Coturnix japonica: one gene and its partners. The protein of the gene in region 1 binds, or shares a complex with, the protein of each later gene. Links are inferred from orthologs where the notes say so. Each region holds a gene or a part of one and is shown on either strand. Other genes may lie near its edges.

Evidence for each region.
Region 2: the proteins of KCND3 (region 1) and KCNIP1 are in contact, whole or in part, in a crystal structure (PDB 2NZ0), measured with the Homo sapiens proteins. The link is inferred for Coturnix japonica from reciprocal best matches to the Homo sapiens genes KCND3 and KCNIP1. Residues at the interface, in NP_001365898.1 of Homo sapiens: Ala6, Ala7, Trp8, Leu9, Pro10, Phe11, Ala12, Arg13, Ala14, Ala15, Ala16, Ile17, Gly18, Trp19, Pro21, Val22, Pro26, Met27, Pro28, Leu29, Ala30, Pro31, Lys34, Lys36, Arg37, Asp39, Trp54; in NP_001030009.1 of Homo sapiens: Leu67, Arg69, Gly70, Phe71, Glu74, Val80, Phe85, Ile88, Tyr89, Phe92, Phe93, Tyr101, Leu105, Phe109, Phe122, Ala125, Leu126, Leu129, Leu130, Leu138, Trp140, Thr141, Leu144, Tyr145, Ile161, Val162, Ile165, Tyr166, Met168, Met169.
Region 3: the proteins of KCND3 (region 1) and KCNIP2 are in contact, whole or in part, in a cryo-EM structure (PDB 7W6S), measured with the Homo sapiens proteins. The link is inferred for Coturnix japonica from reciprocal best matches to the Homo sapiens genes KCND3 and KCNIP2. Residues at the interface, in NP_001365898.1 of Homo sapiens: Val5, Ala7, Trp8, Leu9, Phe11, Ala12, Arg13, Ala14, Ala15, Ala16, Ile17, Gly18, Trp19, Met20, Pro21, Val22, Ala23, Asn24, Cys25, Pro26, Met27, Pro28, Leu29, Ala30, Pro31, Asp33, Trp54, Arg60; in NP_775283.1 of Homo sapiens: Arg112, Gly113, Phe114, Asn116, Glu117, Cys118, Val123, Phe128, Ile131, Tyr132, Gln134, Phe135, Phe136, Tyr144, Leu148, Phe152, Phe165, Leu169, Ile172, Leu173, Arg180, Trp183, Ala184, Leu187, Tyr188, Met201, Met205, Ile208, Met211, His228.

Annotation. Positions count from the first base shown.
Region 1 is NC_029541.1:3,442,145-3,445,695, reverse strand, and holds part of KCND3 (potassium voltage-gated channel subfamily D member 3), read left to right. Parts: intron 1-1,030; coding exon 1,031-1,193; intron 1,194-3,551. UniProt on the Homo sapiens protein: Pore-forming (alpha) subunit of voltage-gated A-type potassium channels that mediates transmembrane potassium transport in excitable membranes, in brain and heart. In cardiomyocytes, may generate the transient outward potassium current I(To).
Region 2 is NC_029528.1:13,391,647-13,395,197, forward strand, and holds part of KCNIP1 (Kv channel-interacting protein 1), read left to right. Parts: intron 1-1,597; coding exon 1,598-1,722; intron 1,723-3,551. UniProt on the Homo sapiens protein: Regulatory subunit of Kv4/D (Shal)-type voltage-gated rapidly inactivating A-type potassium channels. Regulates channel density, inactivation kinetics and rate of recovery from inactivation in a calcium-dependent and isoform-specific manner.
Region 3 is NC_029521.1:19,802,890-19,807,160, reverse strand, and holds the start of KCNIP2 (Kv channel-interacting protein 2), read right to left. Parts: upstream 2,830-4,271; 5' UTR 2,743-2,829; coding exon 2,670-2,742; intron 1-2,669. UniProt on the Homo sapiens protein: Regulatory subunit of Kv4/D (Shal)-type voltage-gated rapidly inactivating A-type potassium channels. Modulates channel density, inactivation kinetics and rate of recovery from inactivation in a calcium-dependent and isoform-specific manner.

The DNA of each region.
Region 1 (3,551 bases):
CGAGGGGTTTGAGTGCAGTGAAGGCAGGTGAATGCAGAAGGATCCTGCTTGGAATAATTTAGCTTACACAAGTGATGTCTGAAAAATAAAGGCCCGACTATAAATCACTTTACTATCAATATTTGCTCCATCAAACACCAAAATATCCCAAAGAAACCCCAAACACCATCTGATAGCAAAGAGAAACCACTTGTTGCCCCTCGAAGGGCTCAGCCTTTACTTCTAGCATCATTTTCCTGTCTCCTACAAAACTTCACCAGTGCTTGCAATGGGGTTTCCTGTGCTGACCTCCTGAGCCACTGTGGGAATTCATGCACTCCGGTGGTTTGCACGTGGCCATTTTGGTGCCAAATCTATTTTTTTATCTTACAATAAAATACCACCTAAATGGCTCGCTGAAACAAGGCCTGTGAACTCAGTCAGTGCCTGTGAGAATCACATTCGTGCCTTACTCTAGGAGCATCAGCTACAAAGGAACCTTTTGCTACACGATCAGAACACACCTCCACTTTCTGAATGGGTTTCCATTTGCAGATGATAACTTTGAAGCCAATTGGAGAGGACAAACTACAGAGGAGAATGAGCCTCCAATGGAGGCTTCCATTGCACTGGCGGTGTTTGGGGTAGCAACATCTGCACTGCCAACCTCTGGTGCCCACCTGGTTATCAGGAGCTGGGCTGCGAGGTGTGGAACCTCAGCAATGTGCAATGGACAAAGCACATTGGTTTTCTCTACTTAGAGCCAATGTTAAAGCTTAAGTATAAAACTCCTGCAGAAAACTTTCGTAACTTGCAAAATAAAAGCCACAAACTGCAGAAAGACCCCCAAAAAAAGCACTTAGCAGAGCAGTGCTTATGTGTTACGTGCAATCTAAAGAACCTGGGTCAACAGCATGAGGGATTTGTTGCTTGTCTAAGCATTGCTATCAGGATGCTCACCTTGCTGCTCAGAGAACCTGGAAAGGCTCTCTGGAAAGCCATTACATGGGTCTGAAGGGAGAACCTCCCATATGTGTGTGTTTCCCCCTAGCTACGGTGACATGGTGCCCAAGACCATTGCTGGGAAGATCTTCGGCTCCATCTGCTCGCTGAGTGGGGTGCTGGTCATCGCCCTGCCCGTTCCTGTCATTGTCTCCAACTTCAGTCGCATCTACCACCAGAACCAACGTGCCGACAAGCGCCGGGCACAGAAGGTAAGCAGCCGCACCAGGACACTCAGCTGCATCACACACACAACCATGGATCACCTTGCAAAGCAGCTCCAACATCATCCTGGCCAGGCAGGATGCTGAAGCTGCATCCCAGTTCACTTTTTCCTTTACTCATTGGACCATGTTCCAATTGATGGCAAAGAAACGTATCACCGAGGCTGATGCCGATATGATTGATGGCAGCTTTTATAAGGTCCGCAGTGTATTATTTCCCCCATTTGAATTTCTAATTCCCCTGATATCAGATTAATTTCTGGGCTGAGAAAGTTTTCTCAAGTCAGAAGTGTGACTAATTTTCACATGAACTCCCCTGCATGAATACTAAAGAGAGCCAACAAACCAGCAGCACGTGGCTGGCCGGCTCTCCAGGGATGGTCAGGACGTACACAGGCGAGAGCAGAATCTGCTTTGGTAACACAGCCTTGTTCCAGCACCAACCTGCAGTGATTAAATTTCTTCTTTGGGAATAGAAGTTTAGTAATAGTTAGAACTCTGTCCCCATCTAATTAGAGTCACAAAGACATTTATGTGGCTTTTTCAGGACGGCTGGATACAGCTCATTGCGCTTTCTCAGTCCTTGAATACATCCCCCAGCTTGTTATAAGCAGAGTTGAGGACACACAGCTTTGAAGAAGTAGCACAGACATCTTTTCTCACTTCCTAGTGTGCTAAATAAATCCTTTTTCTCCTTTAATTGAGGATTAGATTGTAAAATTATTATAAACTGAACTTCTTCCAAAGCACTGATTCCAAGAATCGTAGCTGGGACAAGCGACTCTGAAGGCTGCCCAGGCTATGGATCATTCTGCTGTTGGCATGAACTCAAATGAAGTTGTCCAGTGAGAAATAATTGAGACAAAAGCCTTGAAAGAGCATCCAGCTGAGGAGGGGGCACAGTGCTGAGAGCTGAAGGTTGAGGTGTGAATAAGGGGATGGGGGGTGGCTGTTACAACAGCCAAGGAGAAAGGTGCCATGAAAAGAAAGGGGGAAGAACAGAGAGCAAAACAAAGCCACCACCACCACCAGTGATTTAGTCAGCTCAGAGGTAAATTATTCCTTGCCAAACCTGCACTGCAAGAAAATTAATTACGGGGAGATCTGGCAATCTTAATTTATTGCGCTGTGTCATCAAGGTTTGTTCTCTGGCAGGCAGCAAGGACCAGGTCACTCTGAATGGGAGACAAATTGATCATGTCTGACAAGGTTCACTTTGGTAAAATTGTGTTGGTTTTTTTTCTCTCCCCCCAAAGACTTTTTTTTTTCTCCCCTTTTTTTTTAATGACATGCTAAGAATAGACCTTCCTGACATTGAAGTGATGCTGTTCTTCACTGAATGTCAAAGCCTCTGGTTTTAAAGGAGAATTTGATGCTTAACGGGCTTGACAATTGAATGACTTTGTAACTCAGGTAGTGATGGTGCCTCCCTTGCTGTGCTCAGCTTGAGCAAACTCAACCTCCCTTGGGGTAAGAGCAAAATCAAACCAGGCCACCACAAGAGTGTGGACTGTACTGCAGAAGCCTTGAGAAAGCCTTATTTCATCCCCTAAGCAATACCTTCCCAGAGAAGAACTGAAACCCCCAGTTTAGGCAAGAAAAGGGCAACCTGGGCAAAACTGAGGGCAGAGCAGCCCTCAAAAACAACTGCAACACAGGACTGAAAGCTGAAACTTTGGCTGTCAAAAAGCAGACGTACAAATGAGGTGAGGCAGAGGAGTGGACTCATTGCCTGGTTGGTGAATTAAAGCGTTCCATCATACAGCCAATAGCAGCAAAGAAAGGGATGCAGGACAAGGGAAAAGCCGTATCTTTTCAGATAGAAGTTGACAAGAGGAAATAGATGGAGGTAGATTACTCTGGAGCACAGAGATCCTTGTGAGATGGTTGTGCACACACAGCCACGACTGCAGGAGGATGCAAAGGTAACTATGGAGATGCTGAGAGGGGCTTCAGCCACAAGGAAGGATGCAGATAGCTCATAGAGGCACATTGGAAACAGCCTGTTCTGGAGCCACCGCCACTCCCAGAGGCACAAGAAACAGCCACTGAGCTGCCAAGAGGGAAAACGGTGACGAAGAGAATGCTCAGTCCCAGATTTATGCCATCATCTCACCCATGAGAAAGACAGCCCACACACCCGTCAATAACAGGGCCATTATAATAATTGATTTTCTACAGAGCATGGGAGTCAGCTTTGAAATGTTCTGTTTCTTCAGCTGACACCCTAAATTTTGGAGGTGGGTTAGTGAGCTTCATTCAGAGCATAGAACAGAACGGCCAGAAACAGCGAGCAGAGCAGAGCTGGGAGCTCAGCGACAAAGCGTGACTCAGTCCCAGCAGGGG
Region 2 (3,551 bases), on another chromosome or scaffold:
CAGGTTCCTCAGTTCAGACCCCATTGCTGTTCACAGTCACAGCTGAGAAAGCCAGCTGCTAAATGACATGCAGTTTTTTCTTCCTTTTAGTACACAACTACAGTTCAGCCTTGTCTGCAGGCAGCTTAATCTGTTCTGCTTGTGCAAAAAGGGTTGTTGGAGCTGAAGAATATTGATGAGATGTTTTTCTAAGGCATGGCTGGAAGGTGCGCTGCCAGCAGGGGAGTTCAGCAGGGCTCCCCCCACTGCATGCTCTGCTGCTGGGGCACATTCCTGCCTGGGAGCAGCCCATGTTGCAGAGCTGTCCTGCTGTGTGTTACCCTGCTGGTGTGTTTTAAAGATAAACTGCCAATGAAACAACTTTTTCTGTACCATGGCAGATTAATGCACTCGTGTCCAATGAAGTGGGAAGATCTGGAGAGAGTGAAATGCTGGAGCAGATTGTGTTTCTTCAAATTGATTCTTTCAAGGCACCAATTTATCTGTTTCAGTAATACTGCACATTATACACTCAGTCCATGGTAATGAAGCAGTTGATGACCATTTTACTGAAGGTGATTTGGGGGGGGAGTTACTAACTTTTATGCCAAGCAATCTTCGGAAATAAATGGGATGTTACAGGGCATAGCCATGCAGAAAAAGACTTGGGGTACAGCTGCTGGATGTGGCACTCGAGGTCAGGCTGGATGGGGCTCTGAGCACCTGCTCTAGTGTAGGTGCCCCTGTTCATTGCAGAGAGTTGAACTGGATCTCCTTTAAGGGTCCCTCCCAGTTCAAACTACTCTATGAGTTATGTCAGCTAAAAGCTGCCACTGATATTTGAAGCTTAAATAATGTCAAATTGACACTCACTAAACCCCAGTGTATTGTTATGGCATTACCTGCACTGCTGGGGAAACAGGCTTGACAGGTAAAAAGAGAAGTCAGAGAAGAGGTGAGGCTGCGAGAATCCAGCATGAGATACATCTCAGATACTTTTCTTCCTTGTGGAAGGGTGTTCTCCTGAATAAAATACATGACTATTTTTCACTGCTTATCAGTTTCCAGCCCATGCAGATGCAGGTTGGGTTCATTCAGATTCAGTAACTGTGGGCATAATTAGAATTTCCCTTGGGCTGAACGTGACCTTTGGTGTCCAGGTAGGAAGCCCTTCTCTGGCATACAGAAGAGTTTCCCTCACTGTGTACCCTCAGTGTAATGTCGTTGTCTAATATGCTTAAGCATGACTGCTCTCTTACTTGTATTTGCTCAGCTTTCTGTCAGGTCTGTACTTTGAAAGGCCTGTTTTCAGTGTCATTTCAATATTTAGCTAAGAGTATCTGGTGTTGCCTTTTAGAGCAATGTGTCTGCTGCCTATCCTGTTCTCCCCATCAGTTTTTGGCTAATTGGCAGCCCCAGTAAGAAGTATGAGCTATTGCTTTACTCACCTGGCTTTTATTTTGCTTTTGAGAGGTTGAAAGCAGTTATAAAGACCAGTTCTATTGATGGCTTCTGTTTTTTTTCCTCTATTGCTCTTGAAATCCAATCTGTCTTACCCATCACGTTAACAGAGCAAAGGTAACAGCCAAAATGAATACCTTCCTGTCTTCTCTTTTAGATAAAATTGAAGATGAATTAGAAATGACTACGGTGTGCCACAGACCCGAAGGCTTGGAGCAGCTTGAAGCACAAACCAATTTCACTAAAAGAGAGCTTCAAGTGCTTTACAGAGGATTTAAAAATGTAAGAACAGCACTGCAGTGAACTGAATCCAGTATGTATGTCTCCACCAGCCCCAACTGCTCAGCTGCGTTTTGTATCGTTCCCCTGTTACGTACCAGCATTTCTGCACCATATCTCCTCTGCCACAGCAAAATGAGCTCACGATCTACCTTTCCATCTCATATTGATGTCCCCATCATCTGCTTAAAATGAGGATTGGATGAGCACATCATGCTCATTACATTTACTCCCTAAATGTCACTAAGCGTGCTGCAAATTCCTCAGCTGTGCCTGTACTTTATGATAATCTGCAAATGTTTTCATGTTTATTTAATTTTTTGCTTGCTCAATTCTTGCTGCTGGTTGACTTGTATTGTTTGCTTGGGATCCCTGGGATTTTTGGTTTGGTGTTTGTTTTTTTTCCCCCTTTCCCTATCTTGGATAATTCTTGCTATTCAAGTGGGATATTACTGGAGCAAGTTAGGACTACAGAGTCCAGGGTAAGTAGAGAACAAGGCAAGAGCCCAACAGACCTCAGAAGGTAATGGGTATCAGGGAGAGGGTGTAGGAAACCACAGGTTTAGATGAAATAAGGTAGTGTGCCAGCTAGCAACACTGCATGCACGGAGCAGCAATGTGCTGGTCTTCATGAACCTCAGCCTGAGCCAATTCCCCCTGGTAGGATTGGTCTCCACAGGGCAGTGAGCCTCACCATGTAGGTGTGCTGCTGCTGCCTAACAGGGACTCATACTAAATAGAAACGGGATTTTGAGGTTATGTGGAACAGATGTGTTATGGGTCTGGAAGGTTGAAGAGTCATTACACGACTGCCTGAGGGTCTGAGTTTTGTCATACGGGTGTTTTGTGTCAGGTAATGCTTTGATGATGATTAATGAATTGTTATTGAGCCAGCTTAATAAAAGACATGTGGTTTTTAAGTTGCTCTGTTGGACTGCTGCAGTATTTCAGCTACTGTCATAGCAAAACACTGTAACTTCTTAAACGGTCCAGTCCATTGGCTGAAAGAAAATTGAGCCACCTCAAGTGCAAGTCTTGTTGAGGGAAAACTGTTGGATGCTGCAAAGGTCCTTCCTTATTTTTGCATTCTTTAAATTTGGTTGCATCCTCTCTCTTGCACATATCTGACTTCTCCAGCACAGCACAACTGCCTGGATCTTGGCTTATTGTGTGTGTTGTGCTTGTGCAGCTTTTGCTGGATGTAGGGAGTCATTTCACGTGAGGACCTCAGTCTGACCACTGAAGATGAACCTTCTGAAACCTCTTTTGTGCTCCGGCTGGTCAATAACAAAGCATACAGCTTTTAAGACAGGACTCAATAGGTTAATATATAGTATAATATGATATAACCCCCTACAATGGGGAGCAGAACTAAGTGCATTCTTAAACATTGTGTTCTCCTATCTTGCTGACATACCTTTCTTGCTGTGTATGGGAACCCAGTGCAGGACACCGTGCTGAGAAGGAGAGGCTGTGTCAGCACCCCTAATGCAAACCAGAGGCACCTGAGCCTTGCAGCTCTTAACAGACCTGGGGTTTATCCAATCCCCCAACTTCAGTTCTGCAATTATTTTGCAGTACAGAGGCAATACATTTGAGGGAAAGAATAATGATGAAAGTGCACTTAGCTTGTGAGTTCAGCCCTTCAGTAAGACCCCACTGATGGTCTTGGTGTTAATTGACAGTGCTGGCACGATCCTGGCTTTGTCAAGTCATTAGGAAAGCAGCGTGTTTTCTTCCAGCTGCTGTGGGTGCAATGTGCATGAAGCTTTAATATTTAAAGTTTAAATTGAAAGGGCAGCTATAGCTTTTCTATCCTATAAATCATGGTT
Region 3 (4,271 bases), on another chromosome or scaffold:
CATCAGTTATTCATTGGTGCCTGCAGAAATCCGACGGAGCAAACCAGCTCCGTGCCCAGCCATCCCGTGCCGCTATTCCCAGGTCCCCGACCTGCAGCACACCCCCTCCCCCACCCCGCCATCGCAGCCCCATCGCTTGGCCCTACAGAGCCACAAACAAGCCAGGACAGCAAAGGGCCGAGGCGAGGAGCAGACAGGAGGAGGGAGGCAGCAGACAGACGAGGCGGTCAGGCAACACTCCCATCCATCGCCCCGTGAAGGTGCAGCATCCGCCGAGGGTGGGTGCGTTGACACAGTGGGGCCCCCGGAGACCCCCCGCCCCAGTGGGAGCATTTCCACACCATTCCCCACCCCAAGGAGGGATTTCCCATGGGGGATTTGGGACAGCCCGGCTTCCAGCCCCGCCTCGCCACCGGGCAGGACAAGTGGAGCATAAGGAGTAGCAGCAGAGGTGGGAGAAGCTGAGGGTGGGCAGCAGGCTGGGACCTCTGGGCAGGGGCACTGGGGAGGGGGCTGTGAGACCCAGCGTGTCTGTGTGCTGGCATGTGGCAGGCAGGGAGCTGTACACAGCTGTGCTGTCGCTGTCCCCATCCCTGTGACGCACCCCAGAGCACAGCACGCAGCATCCTGCTCCGTCCTACAGCTGCGTGGCCCTATGCACTCACTGCTATTGGGGATCTCATCTTGTGGGGGGCTGCAAAAAGAGTTGTGGGGTCCCCATCTCGCCGCCGGGGGAGGCAGAAGGACCCCAAAGCTGTGCTGATGGTCTCTATAGCAGTTGTTCACCCCCTGCTAACACTGCGGCTGCCTTTGGGGCGGAGCAATGCCACGGGAGGGAGAAAGCAGGGGGAAAACAGCCACCCTAAAAGCAAATCCTCACCCCTAAGGGCAAATCCCACACCCCTAAAAGCAGCAGCTGAAGGGTCTGACCCACTGCAGGCAGCCTTATGTTGGTCCTATGCCAGTAACTGCTGGTCCCATTGGTGATGTGGGGCCAATGTCCCTGCTCCCCCTGAAACCCCCTGTGCTGTGGGGCCCCGTACCTCCATTCCTAAGGTCAGAGCTGCACTCGGGTCCTGCTTCTCCCATGCTGAGGGCCATGGCTCTGGACATGGGCTGCACTTACACTAATCGCCCATGTCATTAGTGGGCCAGAGGAATCATGTAATTTATGGACAGCTTTTATTTCTCTCTAGCGTCATCTCCCTGTCCCCAAAATGGACCCTTTTAATTTCCTGGTAGCGTTTCTCCCCTCTGCCCAGTGCTGCCCATGTCACACCAGCAGCCACGTGCAGCCCCCTCCTCTCTCAGGGGCTCACAGCCCTCCTGAGCTCACAGATCAGGTCCTCACCTCCCTGTTCCTCTTTTTGGCATAGGAGGGGTGATGGAGACCAACTAAGGGACGATCACTGGGGATGTGCCACCGCCTGATATCAGACAACCTCAGGTCACATCTCACATTGTGGATGTCCCCAGGCCGTGCTGCAGCAGGATGCTTATCCCCAGCTGAGCTACTGAATTGGGGGTGAGAGTCCCCTCGATGGGTCAGTGGACAGGAAGGCCAATCTGCCAGCAGGCTTTGCTACAACCCTGCGTTCCTGGGGGAGCTGGCAGGCAGTGGCCTTGCTGGGATATGGGCTGGCTGCTGCAGGGGCTCCCAGTGACCCCATCCCTGGGTTTGTGCTTGGAGGCAAAGCCTGGCCCTGAAAGGTCTCAGCCTTGGAGAGCCTGGGGTCTATTTTTAACCTCGCTTCGATTTAAATCCATATGGACGTGTTAAAGTTACCGGAGAAACCGAAAGTTGTGTGTGGGTTCCAAGTTCCTACACAGCTCAAAAATATCTCCCCGCAGCGTGGTGGTGCAGGCAGCCGGCAGGGCGTCCCTGTGTAGGGCTGCTTATGGGGTGGGGGGGTCCTGTCCTGCCCACCCCCTCAGAACTCCCTGTGGAACAGGTCTGTAGGAGCATCATGGGGCCTGGGGCTGCCCGTGTCCCACTGCATTGAATCCAGAGAGTCTCAGCTCCATCGCAGCCCCGGTAAGTGGGAGCCCCACTGCCCAGCTGCTGACATTCTAAGAAGGGATAGGATCTGGCCAGATCCACAGGGAGCACGTGAGGAAGGAGGGGGGCATGAGGTGCAATGGGGAGAAAATGGGGTGGGATTGGGAAGACGGGCAGTTCCCGGCTGGGGGGTGAGGATGGAGTGGGATGGCACAGGGTTGCGGATGGGGTACGTGTGGCTTCTCTGCACTACGGCCATCCCAACGCTGGGGTAGGGCTGCTGCGCCCCGGGGAGCACCCAGGGGAGGAGCTCCGGGTGCCGCTGGGGGACCCGGCTCCCGGGGGACCCCGCTGCAGGGGCTCTGTCGCGAAACCCCGCTGTCCCAAGCGGAGATGCGGGAGGCAGGTTTAAAGGTGTCCGACAGAGACTGAAGCACCCGAACGCCCGTGGGGAAGATGAGGGTTTTTTCCCCACGGGGCTGCCAACCTCCGCGGGGAGCGATGCCCCCCTGGGCTGGGGCTGCCACTCTGCTCCGGGGCTCCGCTGGCGAAGCGTGGCGGCGGGGGACGGGGCTCGGCTGGGGCTGGAAGCGGACCGGGGCCGGGGCCGGGGTGGGGGGGAGCGGCGATCCCGAGCGGCTGCTGCACCTTCCGCGGGGGCGGCACTCACCCGTCAGCTGGTCGTAGGAGCCGTCCAGGTCCCGGGAGTCGGACAGGCTCTCCTTCCTGCCTTTGCTCCGCATCTTCTCCGAGGCGGCGGCGGGGGGGGGGAACCGCGACGGGGCGCACGGGCTCCGCCGCCGGGCAGGGGGTGCCCGCGGCCGCCGCCTCCCCCCACCCCGCGCGGCTGCGGGAAGGGGGCAGCGGTGCCGGAGCTCGGCTCGGCTCTGCTCTCAGGAGCGCGCCGCCGCCGCTACCGCCGCCGCCGCCGCCGGGGCTGGGCACGGCCGCCCCCTCCCTCCCGTCCTTCCCCGCCTCCTCTCCCCGGAGCCGCCGGCCCGGCCCCGCCGCCGCGGGGAAACTGAGGCACGGGGAGGGAGGGCTGCGGGAGGAGCCGCTGCGCTGAGGGTATTCGGGAGACCCCGGGGTCGGGGACTGCGCGGGGACGGGGCAGTCGGGGGAGCGCAGTGCCCTGCACGCCGCTGTGGGCACCCCCAGCCCCTTCCTTGGGACCCCCAGTAGGGAAGGTGGAGCCCTGGGGGACTCACTGTCTGGTGGAGAAGCTGGACTGCAACTGGGCAGTGGGGCGTGCGCGGCCAACCAAATGCGAAGGCGCAGCGAGGGCGGCCCGAGCCCACCAGGACCCCCGCCGTCCCCATCCCCGGCACGATCTGTCCCAGGATCCGCCCCACACCGCAGCCCCACAGACGGAGCAAAACAGCAGCACGGGGACGGGCGGCCCCCAGGGGCACAGGGAGGGCGGCCCACGGCCCCACGGCCACACTCGGCTCCGCTGCTGCCCCCGGTTATCGGCCGCCCTCCGTGTCCGAAGCCGTTCGGGGCGCGCTGAGAGCTGCGAAGACCCCACGACACAGCGATGTCCTGCGCCACGAGCGCGGCCTGGCTGCGTCTGCCAGCGTGTGCCACCCTGCGTGTCCCGTTCCCTGCAGGGAGATGGAGGGCGCAGCATCCCGCCCCGATCCCCGCACCCATCGCGGCCCGTGGGGACCGCGGGGCAGAAAGGGAGCGCGGAGCAGCTCGGAGGGAGGGCCGCGCTCACGCGGCAGCGTGTTGTCAGCGTGCTTTGGTGTCAAGCCACGAAAGCGGCCGCCTTAGCGAGGCAGCGATGCTTAGCAACTGCCTGCATCTAAAAATAAGAGCCATTTAGCGAAGAAAACGCGGCGGAGAAATGCTCGGAGAGCTGCTGGGGAAACACGCTCCCTCCTTGCGGCCGCGGAGCCGGAGAGGAACCCCCGGGACGCCTCCACCCGCCCCAGCTGCGGGTCCCGCAGCGCTGCGCTCGGCCGCTGCGTCGCATCCCCACCCTGAGCCCGGCAGGGGCTGGGGACCGGCTGCACCCCGGGGGGTGCCACGAATGGAGCATCGCCAGCTGCTCCCCATGGGCTCCAGCAGCCCGGGGGCGGCACTGCGGGCACGGCCGGCCCAGCGGCTCTGAGTGGGGAAGAGGTTCAACTTCTGCCATCCCTGGCCCTTTGGGAGGTGAATGTGGCTATTTTTATCCCTGCTCAGAGCTCCTGCAGCACAGTGAGAGATGCTGTGCCAGGATGAGAAAGGTGGGGGGCTTGTTGGGGGACACGGGCTGACGTGGGGC